Danio rerio: one gene and its partners. The main gene of each other region encodes a partner of the protein of the gene in region 4 in a complex. Links are inferred from orthologs where the notes say so. Each region holds a gene or a part of one and is shown on either strand. Other genes may lie near its edges.

What was found. Proteins that work in one complex are often made in the same cells at the same time.
Region 1: arpc2 (region 4) and actr2b share a complex: the UniProt entries of both Homo sapiens proteins name them as parts of the arp2/3 complex. The link is inferred for Danio rerio from reciprocal best matches to the Homo sapiens genes ARPC2 and ACTR2.
Region 2: arpc2 (region 4) and arpc3 share a complex: the UniProt entries of both Homo sapiens proteins name them as parts of the arp2/3 complex. The link is inferred for Danio rerio from reciprocal best matches to the Homo sapiens genes ARPC2 and ARPC3.
Region 3: arpc2 (region 4) and arpc1b share a complex: the UniProt entries of both Homo sapiens proteins name them as parts of the arp2/3 complex. The link is inferred for Danio rerio from reciprocal best matches to the Homo sapiens genes ARPC2 and ARPC1B.

The regions. Positions count from the first base shown.
Region 1 is NC_133188.1:6,006,295-6,011,200, forward strand, and holds the start of actr2b (actin-related protein 2-B), read right to left. Parts: upstream 3,061-4,906; 5' UTR 2,980-3,060; coding exon 2,932-2,979; intron 1-2,931. Other genes in the region: phf10 (PHD finger protein 10), read left to right, coding at 3,454-3,522, 4,284-4,390. UniProt on the Homo sapiens protein: ATP-binding component of the Arp2/3 complex, a multiprotein complex that mediates actin polymerization upon stimulation by nucleation-promoting factor (NPF).
Region 2 is NC_133196.1:18,449,015-18,454,000, reverse strand, and holds the start of arpc3 (actin-related protein 2/3 complex subunit 3), read right to left. Parts: upstream 3,061-4,986; 5' UTR 3,026-3,060; coding exon 3,020-3,025; exon of another isoform or gene 2,818-3,019; intron 2,583-2,817; coding exon 2,483-2,582; intron 2,340-2,482; coding exon 2,263-2,339; intron 81-2,262; coding exon 12-80; intron 1-11. Other genes in the region: protein FAM216A, read left to right, coding at 3,061-3,167. UniProt on the Homo sapiens protein: Component of the Arp2/3 complex, a multiprotein complex that mediates actin polymerization upon stimulation by nucleation-promoting factor (NPF).
Region 3 is NC_133178.1:39,761,748-39,766,838, reverse strand, and holds the start of arpc1b (actin-related protein 2/3 complex subunit 1B), read right to left. Parts: upstream 3,061-5,091; 5' UTR 2,956-3,060; exon of another isoform or gene 2,211-2,955; 5' UTR 2,200-2,210; coding exon 2,136-2,199; exon of another isoform or gene 1,277-2,135; intron 1-1,276. UniProt on the Homo sapiens protein: Component of the Arp2/3 complex, a multiprotein complex that mediates actin polymerization upon stimulation by nucleation-promoting factor (NPF).
Region 4 is NC_133184.1:49,919,136-49,923,426, forward strand, and holds part of arpc2 (actin-related protein 2/3 complex subunit 2), read right to left. Parts: intron 814-4,291; coding exon 768-813; intron 681-767; coding exon 494-680; intron 1-493. UniProt on the Homo sapiens protein: Actin-binding component of the Arp2/3 complex, a multiprotein complex that mediates actin polymerization upon stimulation by nucleation-promoting factor (NPF).

The DNA.
Region 1 (4,906 bases), on a different chromosome or scaffold from region 4:
AATTCTTGAAGTTTTTTTATTTTTTTTTTATGGGACATCTTAATTGTTTTGTTCAATCAATTTAAAGGGTCACGAAACACCAAAACACATTTTTTGAGCTGTTAATAGTCGTATATGTGTCCCACACTGCTAAAAACACTATTAGGACACCTATATTTCACTAAAAAGTGTAAATTGGTTATTTTTGCATTATTTCAAGCAAATTCGTACTTCCGGTTTGAAACAAATTTTTGAAGCTGCGTCACGGTCATGACATAATAGCCTGTATTCCAGCGTGCAGACTGGACATCTGTGCCAGAGTGTGTCTTATTACGTCTCAGAGTGTGCTGCATTAATGCATGAGTAAAGCTTGGTTCAAACCAATCAGCGCGCTCTATTGTGCAACTTCATTAATATTCATTAATGTCACAGTGTTTAGACGACAGAGACGCCACGTTGTGCTGGCAAAACAAGCGTGAAGTGTAGCTTTTATAGTTTGCTGCAGTTAAGTTTTGTTTTTATTTTCTCTCTGTGAGAGCTCAGACTCGCGTGTGGATTACCAGTGTACGCGACGCTCGACAACAATAACTTGCGTGTCTAAGGAGGAACATTGTTTACCTGAGAGCAGTTCTCATCTGCAAACGCTGAGATCTGGATTCGCTTGTAGTTTCCTCTTAATAAAGACGCAGCTCTAGTTGCTGGTGATTGTCCTGTCTCTACAGATTTGGTAAGTGAGCGACCAGTGCTCTTTGTTTATTCAGTTTGTTCGTATCGAACTATTGCGCCGAGTGTAAACACGTTAGCACCACAACCAAACTTTAACCTCGTGTAGGGTTTTCACCGCATTTTGTGACCGGAATAACACACGCGGCTTTCTGACGCTACCTGCCGTGTTCATCTAAGTTTCCGGGAAATGCTGAGTTTTTTTTTCTCTCATTCGCCGTGCGGTATCAAACACTGCATGAAAAATACACGCTTAGAGCAGTTCCTCGAATCAAATATCTCGTTTGTCGCGAGGGGCATGAATGAATTCCCTGAATGAAAGAGCCAAACTGCAGTTAAAGTCCAGCATTTAATAATTTGGCAAATAATTTGACTACAGATGTCCATGTAAACACAGTCACTTTCTCCCCTGTGTGTGTGTGTTTTGACTCTGAAACTCGCGCATACCAAAATAGACACTCTCACACCATCCCACTTTAGTTCCTCCGACACTCCCCCCTAAACAGAGCTGGACACGCCCACTTTTCTGACTTTTTCTAAAGTAGAGGTGTGAAAACACCCTGCTGAAACGAGGGGGTTTCATGGCCCTTTAAAGTTGTAAAAAAAAAAATAAGTTTAAAGGAACCCAGCATTTTTTACAGTGTAAAATGGCAATTATATGCAATTGTTTTTGTAAGTTTATGCATGATCCGTCATCACAGACTCTTACATAGCTTTTTGTTTTAATCCAGGCTCATCAGACATTCTGCAAGAAGAAATCTATGAAAATAAAGTGATTGACCAGTGTACTACTAGACGACTACTATCAGCCCTTTCACACATTTAACCTTTTCTGCAAAATTGCCAGCAACTTTCCAGACCAGGATCATGAGAACAGCCCTCATTTTGTTCAAAGAAATAGTTCACCCAAAATAAAAATAGAAACAAATCGTACTTATAGTCCAGTGGTTCTAAACTTCAACAAATGTCTTTCTTCTACTGAACACAAATCAAGACACAAGGAGTCTGAAGAATGCTGAAAAAAAAAACAGTCATTGACATCCATAGTAGTAGGATCAAAAATACAATACTATGAAAGTGAATGGTTGTTTTTTCCATCATTCTTAGTCTTCTTTGTGTTCAACAGAAGAAAATAAACTTTTTAAAACACCTTTTTAAAAGGGATGGTCATTTTGTGTTGACTTTCCCTTTAAGACACTGAACAATAGTTTTTTACTCAAAACTTCTAATGATAATAAACCTTCCTGAACATTAAGAAAGAAGTTAAGTCGCTTGTTTCTTCCAGCTCGTGTGAATCGTTTATAACAGATCTTTGAATAAAAAAAAACTGTAATGTCTTGTTTCTCATCTTAACACTATTCCAAAAATGGTCTGGAGGCTTTCACGCTCGTTCATTGGTCATTCGACATGTAGAGAAATGCTTTCAGGCTGTGGTTTTGACATCACTTCCTTCTGACTCATGCTTCTCTGTTTCACTGACTTGGTTTGTTTACTAAAAATACATTATTAAAACATTCACATTACTTCTTCTTCTACCTCGAGTTGAGCTTCAAACATGCTGACGTCGCCAAAATTGTGATGTCAGGACAAAACCAGCGAAATTCCAGAGCTCACTATATCAGCATTATTCTAATGTGCAAAGAATGTATTGAATGATTAACCAGGATTGAGCATCACTGAACATTAGTGCAGCTCCTATCCACTGAAACCGAGAGATGAGGAAGTGCCATCACCCATAGCTTGTAATATGCAAAAATAGTTTGAAAGCAAGTGGCAGCAACATTCACAGTGAATGGGGAATGGCATGTAACCATAGCAACGCAAAATTCATATTAATAATATGTTATGCAAGAAAGCTGCTAGCATATCGCTGCAAGAATGAGCTCTGAAGGTTTGGTCATGCAGTTAATTCGATTATTTGTGTCAATGTGTTGTTATTATTGTATTATGAAGCGACATTTGCAGTTAATTCAACCAACGCCATGCTACGATTCTCTCCTAACGAAAGAATATGAGATATCGAGTCTGCTGCAGAATGAAAGCTGGATATAAAGCAGAGAAATAAAGCCACAGTCAGATAACACAGCAGAGAAAGCAGCTGTCAGACATTCTTTATAGCTGCGCTAAGCTTTCATGACTTCCTGTTAGGGGTCTATCGGTCTTATTATCATGTCACTCGAAATAAAAGCTCGACAAGACAAACGTCGCGTGTTAGCGTTGCGGACGTACCCCTGTTCCGTTATCACAAACCACCACTTTTCTTCCTTGGCTGTCCATCTTTCAGAGACCCAGAGGAGCCGTCAGAGGAAGCCGAACTTTCTCAACAAAGTGCTTCTAGCACTCAAACAGCAGCGCAGGGTTTCACTTCCTGTTCCAGACAGTTGCGCGAGAAGACAAGCCTGTTTTTTTTACACAAGCCCCGCCTCCTACGCTGTTTTTTTTTTATAATTGACAAATTTTATTAAATAAAAAAACATTTAAAATGTCTTATCAATTAATTAAAAATAAAAATAATAAAAATAATAAATTTTTAAATTTAATACAAAACATAATTTTAAAATAAATGTAAAACATTTTAAATAGTTTGTAATTAAAATAAACCTTGTCCCAAAAAGTTACCAAAATAGACGTGCAATTAAATAATATTTAGTTTTCAATTTTTTGTTTTTAGAGATAGGAACACTTTGTCGCGTTCCCATTGTGCTAGTTTCCAGCCGGAATGTGACGCCCTTTCATTCGCAGAATAACAACATGGCAGCTGTTCTATCGCCGAGACCGTGCGATAGCAATCCTGCAACTCCTGGGACCCAGTCTATAAAGGTTTGTGATGTTTACTTACTACTTTTTCTTAGCAGAAGCTGCAGATATATCACTCTAGCAATGTAAAACTGTACTTACACCTGTACAGTTTCAGCGTGAGTGTGACGTACATTCGCCTTTGTTTGTTTACCATTAGCCTGTTAACGTTAGCCGAGGTAGCTGAACAGGCCATGCATTTCGAGTAATATTTCGTAAATTGATTAACACAGAAAAGTGGACCCGCAATGACTTATCTAGATGGTTTTGAACAGTCGTTTTTAGTTTATTGGCATGGTATAAACAATCACTGGCCACTTTATTAGGTACACCTTATTTGTACCTGGTTGGACCCCCTTATGCCTTCAGAACTGCCTTAATCCTTCGTGGCATAAATTCAACAAGGTACTGGAAATATTCCTCAGAAATTTTAGTTAATGTTGACATGATAGCATCACACAGTTGCTGCACATTTGTCAGCTGCTTATCCATGATGTGAATTTCCCGTTCCACCACATCCCAAAGGTGCTCTGTTGGATTTAGATATGGTGTCTGTGGAGGCCATTTGAGTACAGTGCACTCATTGTCGTGTTAGTCTGAGGTGATTCACACTTTATGACATGGCACGTCATCCTGCTGGAAGTAGCCATCAGAATATGGATACACTGTGGTGCATGTCAAAATTAGCCACTGAACAAATGTGCGAATATTAAACTTGACCTCAATTTATTTAATGTTAGCCTGCGAATACAGAAATCTATGTGACAGACTTTCTCTTCAAACAGGATGACATTGAGGAGAACTCCAGTGATGGGAGTCAAGCCCCCAAGAGGCGCAGGATGGGCTCAGGAGACAGTTCCAGGAGCTGTGACACTTCCACCCATGAGCTCGGGTCAGCACAATACACACACACACACACACACACACACACACACACCAGTTACAGGTGTTTTTTTTCTGACACTGGTCTGTAAATTCCCTTCAAAATAATTTATGTAAATAGACGTTCTCTCAAAAGTGAACTTATTTAATATAATATGATATATTTAGGATTTTAGCAATTCCATGCAGAGATTAGGTTTACGCCAAATTAGTGAAGACCTTTCAGTACTGTACAAATACACAAAATGTCTGTAAAATGTAAAATTCAAACAGTATTTTTTGTTTATTGTTTTCAATATTGCATCTATAGCGCATGTTTATTTTTCACATTTAAAGTATAAAATAGCTTTCTGCCAACCCGACTCTACACCATAACTTTTCAATCCAGATGGATGGGGCAACCATTACTGCATCCAAAATGGTGAAAAGCATTGGAGTAACGATTGAGGACCAACTAAACTTCTCTGACCCCATTTCTAGAACTGCTCGATCGTGCAGATTCGCACTCTATAACATCAGAAAGATC
Region 2 (4,986 bases), on a different chromosome or scaffold from region 4:
TCTTTCATTACCTTTTGGAGTTTCTTGAGACATTCAGAGATGTAAAGAGTGATGTAGATCAAGGTTCGATCAGCCTCATTCTAAAGCAAGTTAAAAATAATATTTTAATACAAAATCTTTAACATTTAAAGGACAGTTCACACAAAATGTACATTTCCCAGTCATGATTATTCATTACAGTTTACTCCAAACCTGTTTGAATTTCTTCCTTTAGTAAAGCGAACGAGATTTTAATTGACCTCCGTTGTATATTTTGGGTTAGCAACATTATTCAAATTTAATATTCATGTTTAATTTGAGGTGAGCAGGGCTTTACTTCACTGCTTGTATAGGAATGTTTTAGTGAAAGTGAAAGTATGTATGTATGCATGTATGTATGTATGCATGCATGTATGTATGTATGCATGCATGTATGCATGCATGTATGTATGTATGTATGTATGTATGTATGTATGTGTATTATAAATATATGACATGACAAAAGTAGATATTACATGACTTTTACACACGACACTTATAGAGATTTAGATTTAGAATACATGGCATTTTTAGACACAAAACTGCTAATTATGCTTTTTTTTTTTACTTTATTTTGTCACCAATAATTTTTTTAAAAAGTAAACATAAAAGACAGAATTTTTTTTACAACAAGTGCATGGAATGTAGCTTTTCAAAACTTGCGCATTAAAAGGGTTTAAAAACATAACATATCTGAAGTAGTAACTTTGCAATGTAGATGCATTCATGCACTTGAGCTTTATTATTGTCTGTGTAAACAGATCTAAATGCCAGTGGACAGATGACTGTTTTTGATGCTCAAACTGGTAACAGCCTGACAATGTCTTATTGTGTTAAAATGAAGCACACATTTAATACAGTTAGGGGAAAATGGCCTTTATAAATGAAAACACTGCCTTGGAAATCAAATTAAAGATCAACTAAAATATCTTTTTCATTTCCGTTTAGTGACCAACATAGACATCAAGGCTTAATGCTGAGCCCTTATGAGGATGTGCAACCTATCACAGAGCCATCCCTTTCAATCAAAAATCCAACAAATTCAAAATCTGATATAAACTGAAGTAAATAATATGTGCATACATACAGTTTATAGGTACACAGTTTAAAGGGATAGTTCACCCAAAACGTAAAATAATGCCATCATTTGCTCTCCCTTCACTAGTTCAAAACCTGTTTGACTTACTTTCTTACAAAAGAGGATATAGATTAAAAAAAAAAAAAAAAAGTAGGTTCGAAAGACCCACTGACAAAGGTCCACAATTTGCTACATAGGCTTAGGCTTGTTTGTCCTATTTTGACTGCTATGTCATCATAAATAGTAAAAATAACCCATCGAAAAGCTTTAAGATCAAGCAGAACGCTCTGCTGGCCATCACATCGTGTGACTTCAGCTAATCTATTTGGTCAATGCAAACATTTATTTTTCATGATTCCAACATCCATCTATGCAAGAAAACATGCAATCTAATGTATGTGAACTCATATTTTGCTACTGTATTGTTAAATAGAGAAAACATTTCAGTAACTTTTATTCTAAATCTGGGACCTTATTCTTAAAACAAAAATGTAATTACTGTTTAAATTTTTAATTATTTAAAATAATAATAATTTTAAATTTCTGACAGAGCAAAGTTGAATGTACTGGTCAGTTTGTTATTTGCCTAACAAATGACAATAGACTAGTTTTTAATTTAAAACTTCAACAGATTCCTATTTTTTTGTTCTAATGTAATACATTTGTATTTTAAAGATAAGTATTCTTTATTCAGTATTTATTTCAGTATTGTAAATCTTTAGAAAATATTTTGGTACATCAAAAAGTGTGGTTAGGATGACCACCCAACAATCTAGCTAAAACTAGGGCTTAAAATGTCACTGAATTAAATAGAACGTAAGGCGAATAACATCAAAAAGGTCCACATTTTGTAAAAAAGACCCCCCCCCCCCCTTTCACCAGGCTGGCTACGGGCCTGTTGACTCTTATAGAATTTGTGTCTCCTTTTGAAGTCAATGGTTACATTGTTCTTCAAAATATCTTCTTAAATATGCAAGAAACTCATAAAGGTTTGGAAACACTTGAGGGTGAGTAAATTTTCATTATTGAGAGAACCATGCCTTTAAATTCGAATACAAAGTGAATATTAATTCTTCTCTGAGCGCAGAACTATGAATGCAGGTTAAGGCACGCAAGTACATTTTTCAGGCTCCTTCACGCTTCCAGCACGGTCATTTGCTCCTTACCTTTATTTCATAGTTCTTGAAGAAAACATTGGCTTTGAAGTAGTAAATGGCCTCATCAATGATGTCTGTGTCTTTAGCTGGTAATAAAAAACAGGAAGGAAATCTGGTTTGTCAGACACTCTTTACTAATGACCATTTAAGGTAGAGTTAAACACATCTCATATCTCAAAGTAAGTTAACTGTTAGATCCTAAATAGTACAAAAGTAAATCCTGTCTTACTTTCTCTAGCAGCAGGACCCTTAAACTGTGTTTTGAGGGGCAGTAATGCCATATTGCCCACCAGTTTGGTGTCTGCATCCATCAGGGCTGAGTGATAAGCCTAAAAAGAGTGAAAGATGACATAAAACGCAAGACTAATAATGTTTTTTTTTCAATATGACGGAGCAAACATTTGTTTTAAAAAGGACTAATATTTACAGAAAAAAATCACAACGTTAATTTAAGTGAGGAAATCCAGTTGTTTGCAACATTACCTGATTCACCAATTCTGTTTTAAACAACGCATTTTCTGACACTTCTATGTTTATATTTGGGATCATTTGATAAACTCAAACATGTAATAAATAAATAAATTCGTAAAACTGTCAAATTTGTGGAAAAACGATGAGAGTATCATGATTTTTACATTAGCTCTTCGGCTAATAGAGCTAAATATTTTCTAGCTCCCCGCTGCTCTAACGTATAACGTGGCACAACCGCCTATAAAGCAAACAATGGCGCTCGTGGTGTAAATCGTTATGTGTGAATATTTCTTACCGGCATTTTGGTACAATATGTCCCAAACCTAGCAGGCAGAAATGAATATGTCAGCGCTGCAAGCCGTCGCTTCCGCCTGTCCCACCCTTCACCGATACAGGAAGTTTCCAGTACAATATCTCGCCAAAACCACTGGAGGGCGCCAAAGGTAACGGTTACAGTCTCTCTTTCCCCCAGAGATTATCCAGTAAAATATCCATTGAATATTCAAAAAACGTTCCATGCGCAAAGTATTTTCACCTCACGACAGTCGAAAAGATTACACAGTTTTAGTATTTTAGATTTAAAGGGTTAGTTAAGCTTTTCACTCACCATAGATGATGCTGCTGCAGATGTGACAATAAAAGTGATTTGATTTGATTTAGTTCACACAAAAAATTATATTTACTCGCCCTCAAGTCGTTCCAAACCTTTGAGTTTCTTTCGTTTAACACTAAAGGACATTTTGAAGAAAAATTAAAACTTGTAAACATTGACATCCACAGGGAAAAAAAGTGCTCAGTGGTTAGCACTCTTGCCTCAAAGCAAGAAGGGTGCTGGTTCGAGTCCCGGCTGGGAGTTGGCATTTCTGTGTGGAGTTTGCATGTTCTCCCTGTGTTGGCGTAGATTTCCTTCGGGTGCGCTGGTTCCCCATCACTGTCTAAACACTATAGGTGAATTTAATAAACTAAATTGGATGTAGTGTATGTGTGTGAATGAGTATATGGGTGCTTCCCAGTAGTGGGTTGCAGCTGGAAGGGCTTTCATTGTGTAAAACATATGCTGAATAAGTTGGTGGTTCAATCCGCTGTGGTAACCAATGACCAACAAAGGGTATAAGCCGAAGGAAAATAAATGAATTTTCCTGTGTTCAACACAAGAAATAAACTCAAAGGTTTGAAACAAGTATAGGGTGAGTAATTGATGACAATGTTCATTTTTGGGTAAACTATCAATTAATAAAATGTTCACCCAGAAATGAGGTCAGTGTTCCAGTGTTCAGGGTTTCCAACATTCTTTAAAATATCTTTTATTTTTGTGTTCAACAGAAGAAAGTAACTCAAATAGGTTTGCAACAAAAGGAGGATGAGTAAATGATGCGTGAACTATTCCTACCTCCTATTAACAAGGTTCAAATCAAATATTCAAGACTGGAAGGTTCAATATAAAAGTTTAACAGCCACTGAATAAATAACCAAGATCAACCACTATTCTGGAAATTTAAGGAACGTCACTATCAATGTCTTCTGTTACCAAAACAAACCATGGCTTTATTTCCTGTAAAAGTTTAGAAACCAAGGTGCTTTTTAATTACCATTTAGTTTTACCCACTGGTTTAATCTTCAAATACTATAGTTTTAACTATATTGTAACAATACTATAGTATTGAAAAGATCTCTAAAGTTGTTACACTTCAAAGATAAAATGTAACAAGAAGATTTTGAGCAAAATAAAACACATTTGAAATTTCCATATTTTTTATTGCAAAAATAAATATACAGTTCTAAAAATGAACAATATTTGATAAAACTCTGCATAGCACAGGTTATTGTTTCATCCTTCAAACAATGAAATCATGACAAAATATAAAGAAACTAAGTGTGAACTGGCTCTTAGCTCAAGAATCTGCTGTGTCTTGGAAGAACGCATCAAAATTGGAATTGCTGGGTTCCTCATCTACTTCCTAGGAAAAAAAGGAAAACACTTAAGCATTTTATATGAGTATTTTGGTTGAGATTTGATTAAACAACTGAATTGTCACATGGATCAGCCTATTGTGATTGGTCTGCTGCTTACAGCTCTGATTTTACCACATCAATACATGTAATCAAATATCTCTTCAAACCAAACATCCATTCTCAGCATTTGGCAACAACGTTATGCACAAACCTTGGGCTCTTTGACCTCCAGGTCTTCCCCATACTGTATGGAGAAATCAATGTGCTGCAGGACAATGTTGATGCCCTCCTCATCAGTGCGATCGAAGG
Region 3 (5,091 bases), on a different chromosome or scaffold from region 4:
AGTGCATTCTGTGTCCCCAGTGAAGATCATGATATCATTGACTTTTAAACTTTAAGCATATTTATTTATTTATTTTTTAAATAAAGATCCCAAATATCCCTAAACATCCCAAAAATCACATTCCAGGTCCGTGTTTGCACTATTTAGGATGGATAAAACACTTAATATGAGTGATAATATTAAAAGTATATAATTGTAAAAACAAAGAATGTTTTCAATTTGTCTCAAATTATTGTTCACCTGTTATGAGATTACTAGCCCTTTAAATTCAAATTGTCACAATAAAATGACATCATATATTAACCACTGCCTTGGAGGGAAAACAACCGGGAAGGGTGAGAGGAGAGCATCTGTTTTGTTAATTAAATATTAAATTAGATTTTTTTCCCAAAACAATTCAAATGAAACAGAATACTTTGAGGCATACATTCTTATTTGTAGGATTAGCATTCTGAAAAAACCTTAAATTCTATATTTGGCATACACTCAGTTAGCATTTTTGTTTGTTTGTTTGACTTATAGTGTAATGGCTGATTCTAGGGTATATCCACCCTGTTTAGTCAGAAAAACAGAAGAAAAAACAGCAAAACACCCATATTATGCTAAAAATCACCTATTGTTTTTGAAAAATGGAAGTTTATTGAGGAGATTTAACATTTAAGCTAGCTAGACTGAACAAAAATCTACAAACAGAAGTCCTGGTCAGTGGACTCGAGTAAAACGAAATAAAACCTGTCGATATTTCTGTGCAGTATCCCATTGAAAGATATCAAGGAAAAAAATACTGTGTTCATATAAAATAGATAATACATCTATAATTTGATGGAAGGCGTTTAATTGGTGCAGTGGTGTATAAGCACCAAAATGATCATCAAAATTAAATGGCATGCCTGTTATATAAAGAATTTTTTGCATGTTTACCACATTATAATATATTTATTTTCCCAATTATACTATTATAACTTTTTTGGTCTTAAAGGGATAGTTAACCCTAAAAGAAAAATTACCTTATGTATTCTCCCTTCAGTCTTTCTTTCTTTTGTTAAAGATAGAAGAAGATATTTTGAAAAATGCTGGTTGCTGGCACCTGTCGACTTCAAAATACTATGGAAGTCAATTAGTGCCAGTTACCAGCAGTCTTCAAGATATCATCTTTTGTGTTCAGGATTAGAAAGAAACTCAAATTGGTTTCGAAGAAGTGAAAAATGACAAAATGATGGTAGATTTTCAGTTTTGGGTGAACTATCCCTTTAACGCCAACTTCTGCACTTGATTCAAACACCGGAAATGCAACAAGCTAGTAGACAAGCTGTCATATGCAACGACTGCAAATCTGGGAGTTTTAAACAGGCACAACGGCTGGATTCTGAAAGAGTATCTACTTCAGCAGTTGAGCTTGCACATTTCTCATAGGTGAGCTCAAAAATGCTCATGTTTTTAACAGCGGCAGTACGTTAAAGCTTCAAGTGTTTCTCATTCGTCTCATTTCCCTGCTGTTGCTCGGCGGTCTGCTGAAGACGTACGACATCAGCAACAAAGCACCATTCATGGTAAAACAGGAAGTCTGGGGGGAATTAGTCATTACTGCTTCTCTCATCATCAGCATGGAAAGAAAAGCAGGGCGGCAGCAGTGAAAAGATACAACTTTTAGACGTTTGCTCCTTTAACAGCAGATTGTTTGTTCTTGCTTTGGATTTTCCAAGAGAAAACACATTTAACTGCTGACTAGGTTCAATCCGGCACCATATATTACGCAAAAAAAAAATGCTGTATGAATTCCCCTGTATATACTGACACATTTCTGGAAGGAGGTTCAGCTTTTTATCCATAACAAACTATTAGACTGTTGGGCTCCCAAGGACCCAACGGAGGTTCAGGTGAACATTCAAAGTTTACAAAAAAAAGAAGTCGGCTTAAGAAGACATTCTTTGTGAGTAAATCTCAAAGCTCATTCAGAAAATCCTCAAAATTATTCGACTCATGATGAAATGGGCTTTGGAGACATTGAAATCGATAATATTTTCAGCAATGATGCTCCCACATGATTACAGAGTTCATATGCTGATGCATATCTTTAGCTCTAGGGACAGGAAACTGCTTCAGAGAGTAGAGATACTGCGAGTTTAAGAACTTACGAGTTCGGTCCTTGTTCCAGGCATGGCAGCTGATGGGTTCAAGAAGAAAACTGTGATAAGCCATGGTCGCTTTTCCTAAAAATGAATAGGCATTTTGAGATTAAATGGTAAATATCCCTAGTACACCAAAGGGTCACACTTTATTTTGATTGTCCGCTTATTGAAATTAAGTTACATTGCATATACATGCCAACTAATCCTCATTAGATTATAAGTAGTGTTATGTTGGGGTAAAGGTTAGTTAGGGCAAACGTACTTATAGCAAAATGCCTGTTGAAGGATATTAAGCACAGTCTACTAATACTCAAATGGACCATCAAAATAAAGTGTTACCCACCAAAGTAGAACACTTCCGTAGAGATGTGTTTCTAAAATGGAGAACTGTAGAACTTCCTTAAAACTATTAGTGTTAATTACTGTATAGGTTAACTAAATTAATTGCTGCTGTAGGTCAAACTTGAAACAAGTTTTTGCCTTAGTAACTGCAAACGCTTCTTCGTTTTCTTAGTGTTTGAACTAAATTAAAACCAGAGCAGAAAGGAATGTCACAAGGCCAGATGCTCAGTCACCAAGTAAAACACTTAAAACAGCTCTCCTGTCGAATCATAGTTTGCATCACCTAAAACAACTAACGGTCCTCTATGCTCAGGAAGTGTGCAGCGATGGGCTTCAAACCTCAGATGTCAAAAATACTGAAACACACTTCTTCCTGGGTGTCATTCTGCATGTTAGTGCACGTTAGTCACCAACATTCCAAAACTAGAGATTGCTCCAGATCTTCTACATTCAGATAAACAAAACCATATGTTATTCTACTTACCCAGGAAACCGTAAAAACACAGAGATGCTAGAGGCGGGGGGGCTGACAAAGCCTGCGACAGAAGCCTGGGTTCGTGGACTCTGAGCAGTCAACACAAACGCTGGCTTTGCTCTGAATGAACTCAACTATTTCCTTAGTCGTTTTTCTCTCCAAAAAATGCACTACTTCCCCTTCCCTGTTAGAAACTTATAACCACTTCCTTGTGTGGGCGGCTGTCTGTTGGCGAGGAGGGTTTTCAGCTCAACTCCCCTTCACATTCTCTTTGGGTGTGCATGTGTAACGTGTGCTCTTTTTAAGTCATGCGTCTGCACTGATGATTTATGGGCGCTAGCGAAAGCAGAACTTTTTCAAAGGGAAGAGAGCAGAAAAGTAAAGGTCGTAGACAAACTTTATGGTGGCTTGAGAAAGCCTTGTCTGAAAGTCGTTTTAAAGTTTGAAACAGTTGACATACAGATATGTACATATATGTTAGCATGTTTCTAGTATGGACTGGTATGTTTCTTGCTATGTGGTTGATAGGGTGTTCTGAGTAGTTGCTAAGGTGTTGCTAGGGTGTTTTATGTGGTTGCTAATGTATTGCTAGGCAGTTGCTAGGTTGTTCTGAGTGGTTGCTAAAGCATTGCTAGGGTGTTCTAGGTGGTTGCTAGGGTTTTGCTAGTCAGTTGCCAGGGTGTTCTGAGTGGTTGCTAAGGCGTTGCTAGATATTTGCTAGGGTGTTCTAGGTGGTTGCTAAGGTGTTCTGAGAGATTGCTAGGCTGATTGCTAAGAAGTTCTGAGTGGTTGGTAGGCGATTGCTAGAGTGTTCTAGGTGGTTGCCATGGTGTTCTAGCTGGTTGCTAAAGCATTGCTAGGCGGTTGCTAGGGGGTTCTAGGTGGTTAAAAATGTTGTTAGGCGGTTGCTAAGGTGTTCTTAGTGGCTGCTAGGCAATTGCTTACATAAATACCACGGTTCTAGTAGGAATTAGCATGTTTGTAACATGAATTAGCATGAATTCAGTATAAATTAGCATGCTGCTAGTATGTTTATAGTATGTATTAGCATGTTGCTAGTATTATTAGTATGCTTGTTAGGATGTTTCCAGTACGAATTGGCATGTTGTTAGTATGTTCAATGTAGTCAATGGCAGTTTTTTTTTTTACAATGGAAATCTATGGGAGAGTTGCTAGGGTGCCATAAGTGGTTGCTAGGGCGTTGCTAGGTAGTTGCTAAAGTGTTCTAGGCGGTTGCTAAGGTGTTCTGAGTGGTTGTTAGGCGATTGCTAGGGTGTTCTAGGTGGTTGCTACGGCATTGCTAGACAGTTGCTAAGGTGTTCTAGATGGTTAAAGATGTTGCTATGTGGTTGCTAAGGTGTTTTGATTGGTTTATAAGGTGTTGTTAGGCAGTTGCTAAAGTGTTCTTATTGGCTGCTAAGCAGTTACTTACATAAAGCATATAGCGGGTGGTGGTGGGGCAACTGCAAGAACACCTGCAAGCAAACGCTTTGTTTGATGCATTTCATTTATTTCGATCATGACATAGCTCAGAAACTGCTTTAGTTAAGGTTGTAAATGACCTCCTGATTGCTGAATCGGGGGCTTGTGGTATTTTAGTGCTTTTAGACTTAACCGCAGCTTTTGATACAATTTCTCACAGCATACTTTTGGACAGACTTCATAACTGGGTTGGTGTGGATGGGATTGTGCTAAATTGGTTTAAAGCCTATCTTTCTGGATGTTCACAGTTTATCTATATGGGCGGTTACAGATCGCGTACTGTCCCTTTATGTCATGGTGTCCCCCAAGGGTCAGTACCTGGTCCATTTCTATTTAGTATTTATATGTTGCCTCTTGGGGGTGAGGCAGTGGCGCAGTAGGTAGTGCTCACAGCAAGAAGGTCGCTGGTTCGAACCTCGGCTCAGTTGGCGTTTCTGTGTGGAGTTTGCATGTTCTCCCTGCCTTCGCGTGGGTCTCCTCCGGGTACTCCGGTTTTTCCACAGTCCAAAGACATGCTGTACAGGTGAATTGGGTAGGCTATATTGTCCGTAGTGTATGAGTGTGTGTGTGAATGTGTGTGTGGATGTTTCCCCAGAGATGGGTTGCGGCTGGAAGGGCATCCACTGCGTAAAAAAACTTGCTGGATAAGTTGGTGGTTCATTC
Region 4 (4,291 bases):
TTAATATATAACAATTTAAAATCTTGCGTATACAGTTGAAGTCAGAATTATTAACCCTTCTGTCAATTCGTTTTTCTTTTTTAAATATTTCCCAAATTATTTTTTTTGAGTATTTCCTATAATATTTTTTCTTCTGTAGAAAGTCTTATTTGTTGTAATTCGGCTAGAATAAAAGCAATTTTTAATTTGTTTTAAACCATTTTAAGGTATTTTTTTCCCAATTGTCTACAGAATAAACCAGCGTTATTCAATGATTTGCCTAATTACCCTAGTTAAGTCTTTAAATGCCACTTTAAGCTCTATAGAAGTATCTTAAAAGGGGGCTAATAATTCTGACTTTACTGTATACATTTCATGCATGAAAAATTCATTACATGTTTTATCGACTGAATGTAGAAGAGCTAATGTTTAAGAGCTAATGTTTTTAACCTAAAAAACAATCATTTGACTAGCAGATTATGAAAACAGTTTGAAGGAACTCTCAGTATCTTACATCGACTCGTCGTCCCTGTAATGAACAACGGCTCTTTTCTCGCCATCGCGACCCTCCTCCTGAAACTTGAAGTACTTCTCGAAGACGGAAGCGAAGCAGTTTCTCTTTAGGATCCCAGCCTGGTGGATCATCTCCTCTTTATTGGGTGGAAGAGCGTCCAGGTCGAAGAGCAGTGAAATGTTGTAGCCTTCAAAGAGGGGGGAAAAAACCATCAAACTACTAATTCTACTGTAAAAATAAAAATAAAGACAATAATAAACAAAGTTTGGCTCACCGTCTTCTGGTGCCACGAGGAAATTTCCATAAACGCGCTTCAGCAACTGAAACACAACCAATTTAAAGGTGACAAATCTTTTTTAAAATTGTAATTAATTTAACAAAAACTCTAGTTTTATGAATAATGTGAAAATATTTATGTAAATTTACTTAAAATGGGAATTAAACATCCTTTATAGATTTTTTATACAAGTATAAAATGACACTTTTAAAAAAAGAACACAAAAAAAAGAGCAAAATAAAGGTTTAAATTAAAATTCTGACAATAAATAGGGGTGACACGGGGGCTCAGTGGTTAGCACCGTCGCCTCACAGCAAGAAGGTCGCTATTTCAAGACCCGGCTGGGTCAGTTGGCATTTCCGCTGTGGTGACCCCTGATGAATAAAGGGAGTAAGCCGAAGGAAAATGAATGGATGAACAATAAAACTTTGCATGGATCAAAGACAAAAATGTGTTTAAGCATCTATACAAACGAAAATATAATACAGCTTTTAAAAATTTAGATTTTTTGCATTTTGTATTAAATACATATTTAATATGCTACCAAAATGTCATTAATTTTAATAGGCAAAACACAGGACAGATAAAGTACGAGTGGCATTTTTACATGAACGTTTTGCACAATGAAGATTGAACATAATTGCACACATATTTTTCCAAAAACATTTAAGCAATCAGACAACTGCATTTAATATTAGGCGTGTAGCGGATCATGGTCGATTTGTGATCACAACCATGTGGAACACACATGACCAGCGGATTAAAATATTTTATTTTTTACTTCTGGATTAAACCTAATTTCGTAACAATTACAGAGAGATCCATCAAACCACATGTATAAAAGAATTTAGGCTTTCCTGTAAAATGTAATGAAGGAAGAAGTTGTGGTAGGTTATTTAGGATGTGGGGGTTTTCTTAGGTTATTAAAGGTGTTTTCTGTCGCTACTTGTTTTACCTGCATTAATGCAATCAGTGTAAGCTGCATGCTTAATCATTAAAAGATTGGGAACTTTTCAACAAATTATAAATGATGGTGATTTGCATACGTTTATTCATCCTAATAGATTCAGTCTTCAGTCTTTTGAGTCATGAAATTACAAACAGTCAAGTAACACAGAAATACTAGCATAACAGTTTATAGTATAGATCCCTTGATGTTTATGGTAAAGATTAAAATCACCGTCATATGCATTTAACTTGATGCTCAAGAATGAAAGTTGCACGTAGTAATTGCATTTAACCAATAGGTGGCGACAACCAGCCATCAAAAATATGCCACTGAATAATTCTTCAAATATGACACATCCAGCAGTGAAATATTAAGTTTTGTGAGTGAATAACTGAATCATTTATTGTAAATGAGACTGAAATAAACATGGGTTGTACAAATTACAAATGTTAGATTTTTACATTTAGCGTTATCAGCAACAGTAGCAACTCATACTTTCACAATACTGAATATTCTACAATTTATTTTTATTCAGCTGGTTATTTCTTCATTTTAATTTTTCATATTTTTTTATATAAAGGGTTCATACACATTTTTACTACTAAAATTCCATGACTTTTCCAAGACTTTTCCAAAACTTTCAAGTACATTTTCATGACGTAACATCTGCATATGGTAAATAATAAGAAAATCAACGACCTTCAAATTTATTCCAGCATATCATAGAACACGCAACAATCTATTTAGTTTACATTTGTTTTTATATCTATGTCAAATGGATTTTGATAATGCTTACACAGCACCAACAATGTGAGAGAAAGGACAGAGACAACTAACCTATTCAAGTTAGAGCTGCACAATATATCGTTTCAGCATCAATGTTGCAATGTGTGCATCCGCAATAGTCACATTGCAGGATATGCAGTGTTGGGATTATAGTTTAATATAGAGTTTAATCATAATGGAGTAACAGTTTATCATCTGCATGCATTTTTAAAGAGAAAGTTCACCCACTAATTAATACTTACGATTTTCATTACAACCCTTCACTTTTTTCAAACATTTATGAGTTTTCTTTTTTTAAATGAACACAAAAAGAGTATAACTTAATAACACCTATAGCATTAATACAAGCGAAAAGTGAGTAAATAGTGAGTACGTTTTAATCTTTGAGTAAACTGTCTCTTGAAGGCCTGTGACTGTGTGAACATTTCAATATTTCAGATTTTAAACATCCGGCCACAGGAAATTTTTTTAATACTTTAAGAAAGATTAAATAATATACAATGAAGACACTGCAGTGTTGATTATTCAATATCTGCACCTGAATAGTGAATACCTGAAAACTATAATTCACTTACTACTCATTTTTTACTATATTTTATTTATGCTTGTAATTTATTTGTTTTATATTATTCGAGATTCATTCCTCTACAAAATCCCCCCAATCAATCCAAATAAACCTGTTAAATCATCTGGTGAAATCCAATTTACATCGCAATATATACCACAGAAATAAAAAAATACGGTAATGTCAGATTTTTCCAATATCGAACAGCCCTAATTCAACTATACAGATATTTGTTAAACTAATTTCCATGACTTTTCCAAAACTTTGTGGGTTTTTCTGTTGTTTCAAAACTTTTCCAGGCCTGAAAAATGCCATGTCAAAATACCATGACTTTCTAGGTCAGTGGTTCTCAAAGTGGGGGTCGGGACCCCTTGAGGGGTCGCGGAACAATGAAGGGGGGGAATCGCCAGGTGATTTCCAAAAATCTACTTATTATTATTATTATTATTAGACCTTAAGAATTACCATATTTTATCCATAACAACTCAAGAGAAAAAAACAGCTATTTATAGTTACTATAGTAGCTTATTTACTTGTTCTATTGAATTGCGACCCCTGGGGTAAATACATTATATTAAAGACAGCAATAGCGTCAGATGCAGCAGATTGATTTTATAACACCAGGTTAAACTTTCTGGCCCATTTACAGCACTGAAATACATTAAAAAAATTAAACGAAGAATAGACTTTGGTCTATTGGTGTGTGTGTGCGCCATTGCATGCAAGTTTTCTGTATTTATAACCACCTCAGAGGATATTGGGGGTCGCGAGTCACTGGCATTGTTATTTTAGGGGTCGCGTGCTAAAAAGTTTGGGAACCCCTGTTCTAGGTTTTCCATGACCGTATGAACTATGTATGGGTTTTTGTAAAAAGAATGCAAGGCAAATTACATTTGTCTCCCCTTTTTGGCTGATCCATGACTAAAAAAAAATATGTGATCCGTTACACCACTATTTAATATACTTTTACAATGCATATAAAAAAACAACTATATTTAATTTAACATTATTCCCAAACATATAAACTTGGGTGGGTGCACTAATTTATGGACGGTTACTGCACAGATGTTTTTCAATTAAATTGACTTAGAATCATCTTTTGTATGAAAGTTTTGATTAATCATGTTTTATTCACGAAAATGTCTGTATTACACACAAAGATTTGCTCCTGGTTAGTGAATGAGACCCATGTCCTGTCAACTACCTATGAATAAAAAACAA